2 linked regions of the Macaca mulatta genome follow. The protein of the gene in region 2 interacts with the protein of the main gene of each other region in a biochemical or structural test. Links are inferred from orthologs where the notes say so. Each region holds a gene or a part of one and is shown on either strand. Other genes may lie near its edges.

Region 1 (6,251 bases), on a different chromosome or scaffold from region 2:
TTAAATGGAGATCTTCTGGGAAACCAAGCCATGAATGCGAGTTTGTACTAACCTAGCCCTCTGGAGGCCACATCTGTAGCAATCAGAATAGGAGCTTTTCCATGTTTGAATTCTACAAAGGAAGGCATATACATGATCAATTATCTGAGCAGAATTCTAGCTAAGTAAGGGGGGAAAAAAACTTCATTTGAAATATTTACCATTTAGAACCCAGTCACGCTCTTGTTGACTCTTGTCACCATGGATACCCATGGCAGGCCACCTAAAAGACAAGTTGTATCATAAAACTCACATTGAAAACCTCAGACTCCAGTGCTTAACCACGTCTTGTCACAGATCTCTTTAATTTCACCAGAAATTAAAAAGAATTAAATTCACTTATATTATCAGATATCCACTGCTCCTGATCCAAGTTTGCCCTTTCCTAAGCTCAGTTACAAAAAAATCTGCTTCAATGGAGGAGCCCACACATACCCATCTCTCCTCATTTTTCTGGTAAGCTCATCACATCTTCTTTTGGTTTCCACAAAAACAATGGTTTTATTCTCCTTCTCACTCATGATCTCTTCCATTAAACGAATAAGTCTAATAATGGGAGAGAGAAAGGAAAAATCCTGAGTTTTAAAAGACCATTGGTAGGGCCCCACATTTATGGTCAGCAAAACATTAAGTTCAATTTACATGGCTGGAAGTCAAAGAGAAAACACCTGCTAACCCACTTATGTAGTAGTTCGACCCTTGGTCCTTAAGTCAACCAGGGGACACATGAATTCCTTCTATAGGAAAACTATAAACGGTGATAATCATTATTTGAAGAATTCAAGATATTTTCAGAAGGATTAATAGGCTAACTAAACGAAATCACACCAACTGAAATAACAATGATCCCTCAATTTTAGCAAGGTTAGGAAGCGAATATAACAGAGTTAATAAAACTTACTTTTCATCCTTTTCTACGTCATGACACACATCCACAATCTGAAGAATGTTGTGGTTTGCACTCAGTTCAAGTGCACCAATGTTTATATGGATATAGTCTTTCAAGAAATCTTCAGCAAGCTGTCTTACTTCTTTTGGCCAAGTCGCACTCCACATTAGAGTTTGCCTATCAGGCTAATGGATTTTGGGGGGAAAAATTAGTGTCAGACTAAAAGTGAAAATAGAATTGAATTTGATCACATATTTCAAAGGACACTTACTCTTATTTGATCCACAATCTTCCTTATTTGGGGTTCAAAACCCATATCAAGCATTCTGTCTGCTTCATCAAGGACAAGATAGGTTGTTCTTCTCAGATTGGTTTTCCCACACTCTAAAAAGTCAATCAGTCTTCCAGGAGTTGCAATACAGATTTCCACACCTTTAATTAAACACGTAAGTGTAACTATAATACCTAAAATATTTAGCACCAATAACAAATAAAACTCTCTTCATTACAGACCTCTCTCCAAATCACGTATTTGTGGTCCCTTGGGAGCACCACCATAGATACAAGTAGACTTCAAGCGACATGCTCTACAATATTCAGCAGCTACTTGCTGCACCTGTTGGGCCAGTTCCCGAGTTGGTGCCAGCACCAAACACTAAGGAAAGAGAAACAGCTTTCAGCACAAACCTGGATACTAGTTTTAAACTATTAACTTATTAGTTATGATGGCAGATCCTTTCTTCATGTGTTGTCCAATACCCAAAGCAACTCCAGCTGAATAGGGTGAGCTAACCTCTGTATAAAACCACCACAAATAATTACATCTTTTGCTATGTAGTCTAAAAATCTATATATTACACTTCTAATAAAAAGTTAAAAATATATACTTACAATGGGCCCATCGCCTCTCTCTAGGAATGGCTGATGATTGATGTGGACAATGGCAGGAAGCAAATACTATTTGGGGTGAAGACGGGGACAAACAGAAATCACATTAAAATACTCTTGTTTTTAAATTAGCATTCCGTTTTCTTGCACATATTACATCAAGAGTTCTCTCAAACTTACAGACAATGTTTTCCCAGATCCAGTCTGTGCCACTCCAACCATATCCAATCCACTTAGAGCAACTGGCCATCCCTGAGCTTGAATAGCAGTGGGTTCAGTGAAATTCTGTCTTGCAATAACATCCATGACATTTGCTATAATTAGTGACAGATATTTAACAAAAATTAGTGATGCCAAGGAAAGGAGGAGGTAGGTGAAAACAAAAACACAGGGGTAGGGTAGAACTGAAAAGTAGCACTCACCAGGGAAATTAGCTTCATAAAAATTTAGAACTGGCTTCGGGCAGTTGTGACCTCTAACTGTAATTTCCTTGCTTCTTCTGTATGTTTCCACCTCTTGCTGCAAAACAAATTATAACAGTCTTAAAGCTCATGACAACCACCCCTAACTAAATACGTAATTGGCAAGCCCGTAACTTCATAATTTAGTAACTAGTTTAAAGTAGCTTCATTTTAATCTGGAACCGCGTATGAAAACCCTATATGACAAAAAAACCGTTTATTCTGCTATACTCAATCTAAAAAAAAAAAATTCCCAAAGCCACCTATTTGCAAAAGTGAGTCACACCTTTCCCAATTACGAAGTCAGAAAACGTAACTCTACCAAAATTGAGTTATTTGCAAAACACCTGTCAGAATTTCATTTACTAGACTCCATTGAGTTACAGCCTGATGAAGCCACATGAATTTACTCACTGCTGTCCGCCTAGCCAAATCAGGGTGCTCTTGATAGAAATTCTTCTCAAACTTGGGCAGCTCATCAAGATTCCACTTCTTTTTAACTAGTTTCTCCCCAGGGTTTCCAAACTTCTTTCCAGATAAGGGCCCCGCCCTACTTCCTCCAAATCGAGGTGCACCAAACCTGGAATGAAGAAAAAAAGTTATTTACATTTTCAAATGGCTACACCTAGGTTTCTGGACAGATTTGTTTACCATCCCTTGGCACAAGCTAAAGATCACTGAAAGCCGACTTCGAGAGGTAAACCTAGCACTGTCCTTAGTGATAATCTCTCTCTCAACAGCCACAGTTAACGTTTCCCGTAGTCCCAAGTACACACAACTTAGGCCACGTAAACAGCCTGGGATTTACTATATCGAAAACTTGTCACCCAGATGCCAGAATTTAGTATTACACACCACTTCTTGTGGTTACTATTATCTTTCTCACCAGTCTAGCAATTCATTATCAGTGATAACAAGCCTACATGAACCGAAGAGCATCACAACGATGTTACTCATATGGCCGTTTTCAAGCCAAAGAGCTTTGATGTCAACAATCTAGACAGCACAGACAACGAAAACGAAACAACGGTTTAGAAACACTTCTGCTAGCAAACCGAGCTGGGGGGACGCCGCGGTAGAGCTCCGGATCAACGAATTAAAATTATATAACGCAGGAAAAAAGAAAAGGAGGAGCCGGCGACTACCGGGGGAGGAGTCCCGGCCCGGGCGGAGCCGGCCGGGCGGCGTTCCCGCTGGGGCGGCGCTTCCCCCTTTGTCTCGCATTTCTCTCTGCGCCACATTTTCTCGACGCTGCCATTTTGAGCTCCTCCGCCGGGCGGAGTAACAAAGGCGCCGCCGCCATGTCCAAGGCCGGCATTTTATACCCGCGACTCAGCCACATGGCTGATGCCGGCCGCCCTCCTACCCCCACAGCACCAGTGGCTTTGGAGGTGGTCCCTTCGCTCCCACAGAATGCCCGACCACCCCAAAAACACCTCCCGAAAGGCCGCACCTAACAGCTGTTCCTTCGTCTGCCTCGAAGCGTCGCGCTTTCATCCGAACAATGCGCTCCCTCTGAATTCCCTCAACAGCTACCAAATGGCAGCCGCCCCGACGGCTCCCCGACCCCCACACAAAAAGCGAGGATGAAGACACTATCCCGTCAAATCTCTCCCACTCACTGTTACGTGAATATCAAAATGGCGCAAGCCTTCGGGAAAGGAGGCCCCAAGATAGCCCGGAAAGGCCGAGTCCAAGCCGCAAAGCCCCGGCCCGCCGCCACCCTGACCCGCCCTCCCATCCCCCACCCGCCAGCCCTGACAACTCGGCTCCCACACTCACCCTCGATCCCGGCCGCGGTCTCGGTCACTCGAATAACCCGACATAGCGTCAATGGTTGCGGTTGGCGGGGAACGAAGTAGATAGAAAAGGGTGCGACGAGTCGCTGGAAATGGCTTCGGCGACGGCGAAGCCTTGCGGGGGCGGCAGCGGAGGAGTGACGGCGATGACACCAGCCAAAGCTGCACACCTAGAGACCGGTGGAAATGAATGAGGTGCCGGCCGCTTTCCGGCAGCCGCTTTTATAGTCTGGACCTCCTCCTACGCCGCAAGGCACGCTGGGAGCCGCTCTATGACCTAATCGCCCCGCCCCTCGCGCAGAGGCCGCAACGCCCGCCGGCGTTCCGCGATCGCCGCGCTTTCACCCCACCCCGTGCCGCTCTCTCAGGTCAGGGCCCACCCACCATTGAAATGCCTCATTCTCCACTCTCTTGACCTCACCTTCTTCTCGTCTTTCCACACCTCAAGAAAGCCACCCTGCCCTTTCCCAAGCCCAGCCAGACGATAAAACAGCCAGCCCAAGCCCGCCCACCCTCCCCACTCGGAGGTGTTTACGTCTCCAAAGAGCCCTCACGCCTGTAACCAAATGAGAGGGAAGGCGGGGGCCTGGCGTTGTCACGTGACGTTACCCCCCCACCGCCCACCGTGACAGGGGGCCGCACTACTTCCCCGTTGACGTCGGCGGAGGGATACATAACGAAATAGCTCACCGGAAGTGCGCTGCCAGCACCCGGGACCCGCCCCCAGCTGCCGGCTAACTTGGACCGTCCGACCCACGGGTCTGACAATCCTGTGACGGGTTTTGGCCGGCGGAGAATGGTCTCTAAACTTCCCAAACCGCTTCCGTGGCACGTGCTGTGAAAGGAAGTGCTCCTCTGATGACCAATCAGCGGCGAGAAGTTCTTTTAACGTCCCTCCCTCTTTCACGCCTCCTTCCCCGCGCTTTAGTTCGTGCGCCCGCCCCCCAGCGTCTGCTCTGCGTTCGGTCCTTGCAGGACACCGTCGCCGGTCTGGCAGCGTCGGAGTCCGGCGGCGACCTGCTTCCGAGACATGGCCCGCTCGGAGGCTGGTGAGTGTTTCCCTGGGGTCGCGGTGTGTGTTTACTGAAACTGTCCACCTTCAGGGAGGCCTCGGGCTAGCCCGGACTGGGTCTGGGGTGTCGGCGGGGCTCGTTACTGTCAGACGCTGCGTCGCGGTGGCGGGTTCTCTGGATAGGGTCTCTCAGCTTCACCCCCTCTTCGCTTTGAGGCCGTGGAACAGCAGTATGAGGTGGGAGAGAGGCACTGGGGCGAGGCCGGTAGGACGCTCGGGTCCTGGCTGCAAAAAGAGCAGTCAGAAGGGTCGTCCTCGGACTTGTCTTTCTGTGGGGCGTCTAGCCGCTGTCCATGTGCCCTCCTCCCTTGCACTATGGGCCCTGAGGTCGTACCTCCTTTTGTAGTGGTCTTTAAAGGAACGGCACTCTTAAGGTTTATTCATGCCCCTGCCACAGAAGAATAGTGGTGCTTTTTTCTCTTCAGTGCCCTCTAGAGTCATGGGCTTTGTCTAGCACCGCTTTTGAAGAGCGAATTAATTTGGTTGTCTAGGACGCTTTCATCCTTTTCACTAGGACTGCGTACAAACCAGTTGTCATGGTTTGGCCAGTTGTGAGAAATGGGCTTGGAGAGGGGGATTATGTGCCTGGAAGATACACTCTCATTCGTTTCCAGAACGTCATGTGTCCAGAACATAGTGGAGATGTTTGTTTCTAATATCGATTGCCAGTGCTTTCCTACCAATCGTCAGGCATTTCAAGGAACAAGTATTTTAAGCTAAGTTGCTTTTGGTAGAGAAACTGTTAAACTTCGCAAATCCCAGCAATATCTAGGGGAGAGGAGAATGTGGTATGCAGGAAACGTCAACAGTATTGATAATTCTGAGCTTCATGTACTTCCAATATTTTGTTTCATGTAGATCAATATAATAAAAAAGAAAAACTAAGAAATGCATTAGTGTTGATGTTGTCATTATGCCAGTTCTTAACAGCCTAAGTTTAATCACCACTTATTTGGGCACCAGAGAAATCCTGACTTGCACAAGATAATTGGGTAAACACATGACCAATACTGTTGGGAGTTTGAAGCAACATATTTTATTAATGACTGTCTAGTAACTTCAGATTATTATTAAACTGTTGCTTATGACATAATATTCCTGTT
Region 2 (6,302 bases):
CGCCCAGGCTGGAGTGCAGTGGCGCGATCTCGGCTCACTGCAAGCTCCGCCTCCCAGGTTCACGCCATTCTCCTGCCTCAGCCTCCCGAGTAGCTGGGACTACAGGCCCCGGCCACCTCGCCCGGCTAGTTTTTCTTATTTTTTAGTAGAGACGGGGTTTCACTGTGTTAGCCCGGATGGTCTCTATCTCCTGACCTCATGATCCGCCCATCTCGGCCTCCCAAAGTGCTGGGATTACAGCCTTGAGCCACTACGCCCGGCCCTTTCTGATAAATTTCATAACAAAGGTATATAAGAGGATGACGCCATTTGAGCTGACCTGGAAGTAGGGGTAGGATTTTTTTTTTTTTTTCAGGAGCTAGACAGTAAACATTAAAAAGCATTTATATATTTACTTACTTTGGGGACAAGGTCTCTCTCTGTTTTCCTGCCTGGAGCGCAGTGGCAGGATTTGGGCTCACTGCAGCCTCAACCTCCTGGGCTCAAGCGATCCTTCCACCCCAGGCTCCTGAGTAGCTGGGACTACTGGCGTACATGACCATGTCTAGCTAATTTTTGTTATTTTTTTGTGGAGACGGGGTTTCACCATGTTGCCCATGACTGGTCTTGAACCCCCGGGCTCAAGCAACCCGCTCGCCTCGGCCTCTCATAGTGCTGGGATTACAGGCCTGAGCTACTGCGCCTGGCAGCATTAATTCACTGAAGAATCTACAGAAAACTTTTTGTGGAACTATTCTGGGTTGGAATCTAACACTTACGACTCATTTGCTTTGTGACCTTGGGTAAGTCACTTCTCAGCCTGAATGTCTTCACTTATAAAATACATAATATAGCTAATACTTAATAACATCTTCCTGATAAGGATGACACGAAATACCAACTGCCTCCCTGACTTAGGCACCTAACACTGTAGGCAGTCAGCAATTACTTCACCTTTTTACCTGTCTAAAGCATCAGAGGCCTCAGTTCTTTTTTTTTTTTTTTTTTTTTTTTTGAGACGGAGTCTCGCTGTGTCGCCCAGGCTGGAGTGCAGTGGACGGATCTCAGCAAGCTCTGCCTCCCGGGTTTTTACGCCATTCTCCTGCCTCAGCCTCCCGAGTAGCCGGGACTACAGGCGCCCGCCACCTCGCCCGGCTAGTTTTTTTTTTGTATTTTTTAGTAGAGACGGGGTTTCACCGTGTTAGCCAGGATGGTCTCGAACTCCTGACCTCGTGATCCGCCCGTCTCGGCCTCCCAAAGTGCTGGGATTACAGGCTTGAGCCACCACGCCCGGCCAAGGCCTCAGTTCTTAACTCCAAAGGGCTTAAAATAGTATAGGAGAATTCAGATTTTAAAACATAAGAACATACAAGCAAGCGACAACATTTAAGATACAAATACTGAAGGACATGACCTTATCGTGTCATTGACAAGCTATCAAGGCCGGCTCCACCAAAACACGGATAAAGAGGAGGCCAGAAATCCAGGTGCCTGCAGTAAAGTTTAACCTTCGTGATTGCAAAAAGCAGGAGCTCAACTATCTTGCTTTATGCATAGGCGGTATTTACTATTAACTCGGAAAAATGGAAGTGACTTATCCGCACTTTAGCCTCAAAGCTTGAAAAGTTAACCAGTCGTAAGTGGTTAGCGCCTTTGTCTGGCGGAACTTAACAAAATGGCGTTTTCTGGAATCTTACGGAGACTCTGCATATTGGTCAGCTCAGTATTAACTTATTTGGTGAGCGCTGTCCCCAAATCCCGTTCCGGCTGCACTCGCAGGGCTTGCAGCGACATTGAGGTATCTGCCCGCCTGTCCGCCCACCCGGGAAACGGGTAAGATTTGAGAGGTACTTTATAGGGGCAGTTAAATGAAGACTCAAACAAATCCTAGTGTTGATGCGGAACTGCGCGCCGAATGCCTTGGCTCTGACACCTGTTGAGCTGCAAGACTTCACTAAAGCGTCCCACCTAATGACTGTAACAACGTCCCCTGAGGTGGGCCAATATGGCGACGGTCTCCTCTTGGCACAGCCCTCTTCCCTCCCTCATGATGGGCGGCTCCGGTAACGCCCATTGGCCAACTAGGAGGCGGTGCCAGGCTTACTTCGTTCCCTCATTGGATTGAATAACTTAGGGAGCCGCCAATTCTCCTCTGCCACTCCAAGTTTCCGCCCTCAGAGTTAATCTGGCGTTTAATTGGCTTTTAATTCACGTCAATATGCGTCCTTTCCTGTCTTTTTTCAGTCTTAATCCAATCATAACTTTCCTGGCTGCCCGCCTGATTTCTGATTGGTTTTAATCAGCTTCAGCCTATCCTATTCCTGTCTACTTCTTACCTCTCCTCCCACTAGGATTTTGCCCAAGCATATCCCGGATTCTAGTTGGCCGTTGTTCTGTCATTCCTATCAAACCTTTCCCTATCCCAATGTCTCAGGGAGCCCGCCTGCCGGTTGACTGGTTTCCTTCCAAGCCAATAATCCCCAGCTCCCGCCCATCTTCACTTCCTGCATCTTTCATTGGCTTTTAACACTGAGAGGGCTGTCTTTTTGGGCGGACACCAGGCACGCAACTTAGTCTTACACGCCTTAGAGAGCAAGCGAGTCTTGCCATTGGAAAACCTCACCGTCTTTCTTCTGCAAGTCCCACCTTTCCCCCTCCCTCATTGGGCGGGGCAGCAGAGAAGGGGCGGGGCATAGGTTGGGCTGGTGGCGCGCTGCTCCCTCCTCCTCACCCCCCCCTCCCTGTCCGGTCCGGGTTCGCTTGCCTCGTCAGCGTCCGCGTTTTTCCCGGCCCCCCCCAACCCCCCCGGACAGGACCCCCTTGAGCTTGTCCCTCAGCTGCCACCATGAGCGGTAAGGATGAGTCCACTCCAAGCTTAGGGGTGGGAGGCGAGTGAGGGGGCGCGCGCGAGGGCCGACCGGGCGATCCCCGCCGTGAGGGGGGGCGGGCGGGAGGCGGCGGCGGCGGCCTAGGTCCCGCCCGGGGCGGAGGGAAGGGAGGGAGACGGGGCAGTGGCTGGGCCTCCGAGGAGGAGGGGGATGGGCCGCCCGCCCCGGGGGAGGGGGCAGCGTGGCCTCGCCCGCCCCCTGCCCGCCCCGGCCACGGGGGACGGGCCTTACCCCCCACTACTCGGCCGCCCGCCTGAGGCTCCTCCCGCCGGGGGCTGGAGCCGCGGGGGCGGCCCGAGCAGTGAAGGCCCCGCCCGGGCCAACCGCTTGTCTGGTCCGTCCTCTGGTCGCCGCCTGCTCCGGCGCCCTCCTCCCCCCACTTTCCGTAGATTTCCCTTCCCCCCGCCCCACCGTCCCGCCCTTTCCACGCCCCTCACCCCGAAACCGCCCTTTCCCTCAGGGCCCGCCCTCCGCCCCGAAACCTCCTGACTACTAACCAGTACACCCCTTTAGTTCCTTAGTAGTATTCACAAATGTTTTCCTACTAAAACTTTTTATTTCTTTTTCCCTTCTCCTCTTGTTACTTTTAATACTTGGGTTTTTGTTTATCTCTCTCTTTTTTTTTTGAGAGGGAGTTTCGCTCTTGTCGCCCAGGCTGGAGTGCAATGGTGCGATCTCGGCTCACTGCTACCTCCCGGATTCAAGCGATTCTCCTGCCTCAGCCTCCGGGAGTAGCTGGGATTACAGGCATGCGCCACCACACACGGCTAATTTTGTATTTTTAGTGGGGACGGGGTTTCTCCTTGTTGGTCAGGCTGGTCTCAAACTCCTGACCCCAGGTGATCCTCCTGCCTCAGCGTCTCAAAGTACTGGGATTACAGGCATGACCACCGCGCCTGGCCTCTCCATCTCTTTTAACCTTAATTTTAGCAATCTTTCCATCCACCCACATATTGTTTTTTGCCTTACTTGTCCTTTTTTCCCTTAGGATACTTTTTCTTATTTTGAAACTCTTTCAGCATGACTACCATCCTTCACATTTCCTATCCCCAAAGCACTTTTTGAATGTTTTCTTAGTTAATTTTGTGTAAGGGAGAATTGAGGCCCACTTTTGGCACCATTGAGCCTAGTTCATGTCCTGCATGCCCTGCAGCTCCCCTCTGCCCTCCAATCCATTTTCTTTATACTGGCGCCTTTCGCCTTCCTGTTAGTCATTGCTATTTCATCATAGCCTCCTTTTATCCTTCCTACCTCATCTCTTTTCTTCCCTCAAGTTTAAGTTGTTTGTTTTTTAATTGTTTTAGACCAAGATCACTCCATGGATGAAATGACAGCTGTGGTGAAGATTGAAAAAGGAGTTGGTGGCAATAATGGGGGCAGTGGTAATGGTGGTGGTGCCTTTTCACAGGCTCGAAGTAGCAGCACAGGCAGTAGCAGCAGCAGTGGAGGAGGAGGAGGGCAGGTAAGTGATAATAATAGAGTGGGGAAGATGTTGAGAGGATGTAAATATTCTTAGATAATTGCCTTACTCTTCATAGAAAGCTTTTTAGGGAGCTTATCAAAACCATTTTATAGATAAGAAGTAAGAGTATGGAGATCCCCAAAGACAGGAGTTTCAGCAATACAGATAGGTCAGCTTTTTGTTTCTGTTTTTTGCTCCTTGTCTGCACTACGTTGCTGTTTATTTGTTGTATACTGCCCCCTAGGCTGGCAGCTGGGTGTCACTAACTCCTTTCCTCTCCCTTATTTTTGGCCAGGAGTCCCAGCCATCCCCTTTGGCTCTGCTGGCAGCAACTTGCAGCAGAATTGAGTCACCCAATGAGAACAGCAACAACTCCCAGGGCCCGAGTCAGTCAGGGGGAACAGGTGAGCTTGACCTCACAGCCACACAACTTTCACAGGGTGCCAATGGCTGGCAGATCATCTCTTCCTCCTCTGGGGCTACCCCTACCTCAAAGGAACAGAGTGGCAGCAGTACCAATGGCAGCAATGGCAGTGAGTCTTCCAAGAATCGCACAGTCTCTGGTGGGCAGTATGTTGTGGCTGCCACTCCCAACTTACAGAACCAGCAAGTTCTGACAGGACTACCTGGAGTGATGCCTAATATTCAGTATCAAGTAATCCCACAGTTCCAGACCGTTGATGGGCAACAGCTGCAGTTTGCTGCCACTGGGGCCCAAGTGCAGCAGGATGGTTCTGGTCAAATACAGATCATACCAGGTGCAAACCAACAGATTATCACAAATCGAGGAAGTGGAGGCAACATCATTGCTGCTATGCCAAATCTACTCCAGCAGGCTGTCCCCCTCCAAGGCCTGGCTAATAATGTACTCTCAGGACAGACTCAGTATGTGACCAATGTACCAGTGGCCCTGAATGGGAACATCACCTTGCTACCTGTCAACAGCGTTTCTGCAGCTACCTTGACTCCCAGCTCTCAGGCAGTCACCATCAGCAGCTCTGGGTCCCAGGAGAGCGGCTCACAGCCTGTCACCTCAGGGACTACCATCAGTTCTGCCAGCTTGGTGTCATCACAAGCCAGTTCCAGCTCCTTTTTTACCAATGCCAATAGCTACTCAACTACTACTACCACCAGCAACATGGGAATTATGAACTTTACTACCAGTGGATCATCAGGGACCAACTCTCAAGGCCAGACACCCCAGAGGGTCAGTGGGCTACAGGGGTCTGATGCTCTGAACATCCAGCAAAACCAGACATCTGGAGGCTCACTGCAAGCAGGTCAGCAAAAAGAAGGAGAGCAAAACCAGCAGACACAGCAGCAACAAATTCTTATCCAGCCTCAGCTAGTTCAAGGGGGACAGGCCCTCCAGGCCCTCCAAGCAGCACCATTGTCAGGGCAGACCTTTACAACTCAAGCTATCTCCCAAGAAACCCTCCAGAACCTCCAGCTTCAGGCTGTTCCAAACTCTGGTCCCATCATCATCCGGACACCAACAGTGGGGCCCAACGGACAGGTCAGTTGGCAGACTCTACAGCTGCAGAACCTCCAAGTTCAGAACCCACAAGCCCAGACAATCACCTTAGCCCCAATGCAGGGTGTTTCTTTGGGACAGACCAGCAGCAGCAGCACCACTCTTACACCCATTGCCTCAGCTGCTTCCATTCCTGCTGGCACAGTCACTGTGAATGCTGCTCAACTCTCCTCCATGCCAGGCCTCCAGACCATTAACCTCAGTGCATTGGGTACTTCAGGAATCCAGGTGCACCCAATTCAAGGCCTGCCGTTGGCTATAGCAAATGCTCCAGGTAAGCTTTCCGATCTTTTGCATTTATTGGGAACCAACCCTAGCATCTTAGCTGAAACTTGAGTCTAAATAAGGGAATAGAGCTTTTTGAGATAACACTTTCTTGAGGGCTAGTCATATAGGCAAATAAATTTGAGAAATAGAGATTCTGCTTAAGTAATTTGGA

What was found. The genes of interacting proteins can lie anywhere in the genome.
Region 1: the proteins of SP1 (region 2) and DDX5 form a complex in vitro, tested with the Homo sapiens proteins (2 studies listed by BioGRID). The link is inferred for Macaca mulatta from reciprocal best matches to the Homo sapiens genes SP1 and DDX5.

What each region holds. Positions count from the first base shown.
Region 1 is NC_133421.1:74,401,897-74,408,147, forward strand, and holds the start of DDX5 (probable ATP-dependent RNA helicase DDX5), read right to left. Parts: upstream 4,334-6,251; 5' UTR 4,104-4,333; coding exon 4,060-4,103; intron 4,038-4,059; exon of another isoform or gene 3,775-4,037; coding exon of another isoform or gene 3,731-3,774; intron 2,858-3,730; coding exon 2,692-2,857; intron 2,336-2,691; coding exon 2,239-2,335; intron 2,131-2,238; coding exon 1,997-2,130; intron 1,886-1,996; coding exon 1,820-1,885; intron 1,584-1,819; coding exon 1,442-1,583; intron 1,361-1,441; coding exon 1,200-1,360; intron 1,114-1,199; coding exon 941-1,113; intron 586-940; coding exon 475-585; intron 263-474; coding exon 201-262; intron 113-200; coding exon 53-112; intron 1-52. Other genes in the region: CEP95 (centrosomal protein of 95 kDa), read left to right, coding at 5,107-5,125. UniProt on the Homo sapiens protein: Involved in the alternative regulation of pre-mRNA splicing; its RNA helicase activity is necessary for increasing tau exon 10 inclusion and occurs in a RBM4-dependent manner. Binds to the tau pre-mRNA in the stem-loop region downstream of exon 10.
Region 2 is NC_133416.1:60,524,502-60,530,803, forward strand, and holds the start of SP1 (transcription factor Sp1), read left to right. Parts: upstream 1-2,785; 5' UTR 2,786-2,824; coding exon 2,825-2,831; intron 2,832-3,335; exon of another isoform or gene 3,336-3,532; coding exon of another isoform or gene 3,533-3,614; intron 3,615-4,171; coding exon 4,172-4,329; intron 4,330-4,624; coding exon 4,625-6,137; intron 6,138-6,302. UniProt on the Homo sapiens protein: Transcription factor that can activate or repress transcription in response to physiological and pathological stimuli.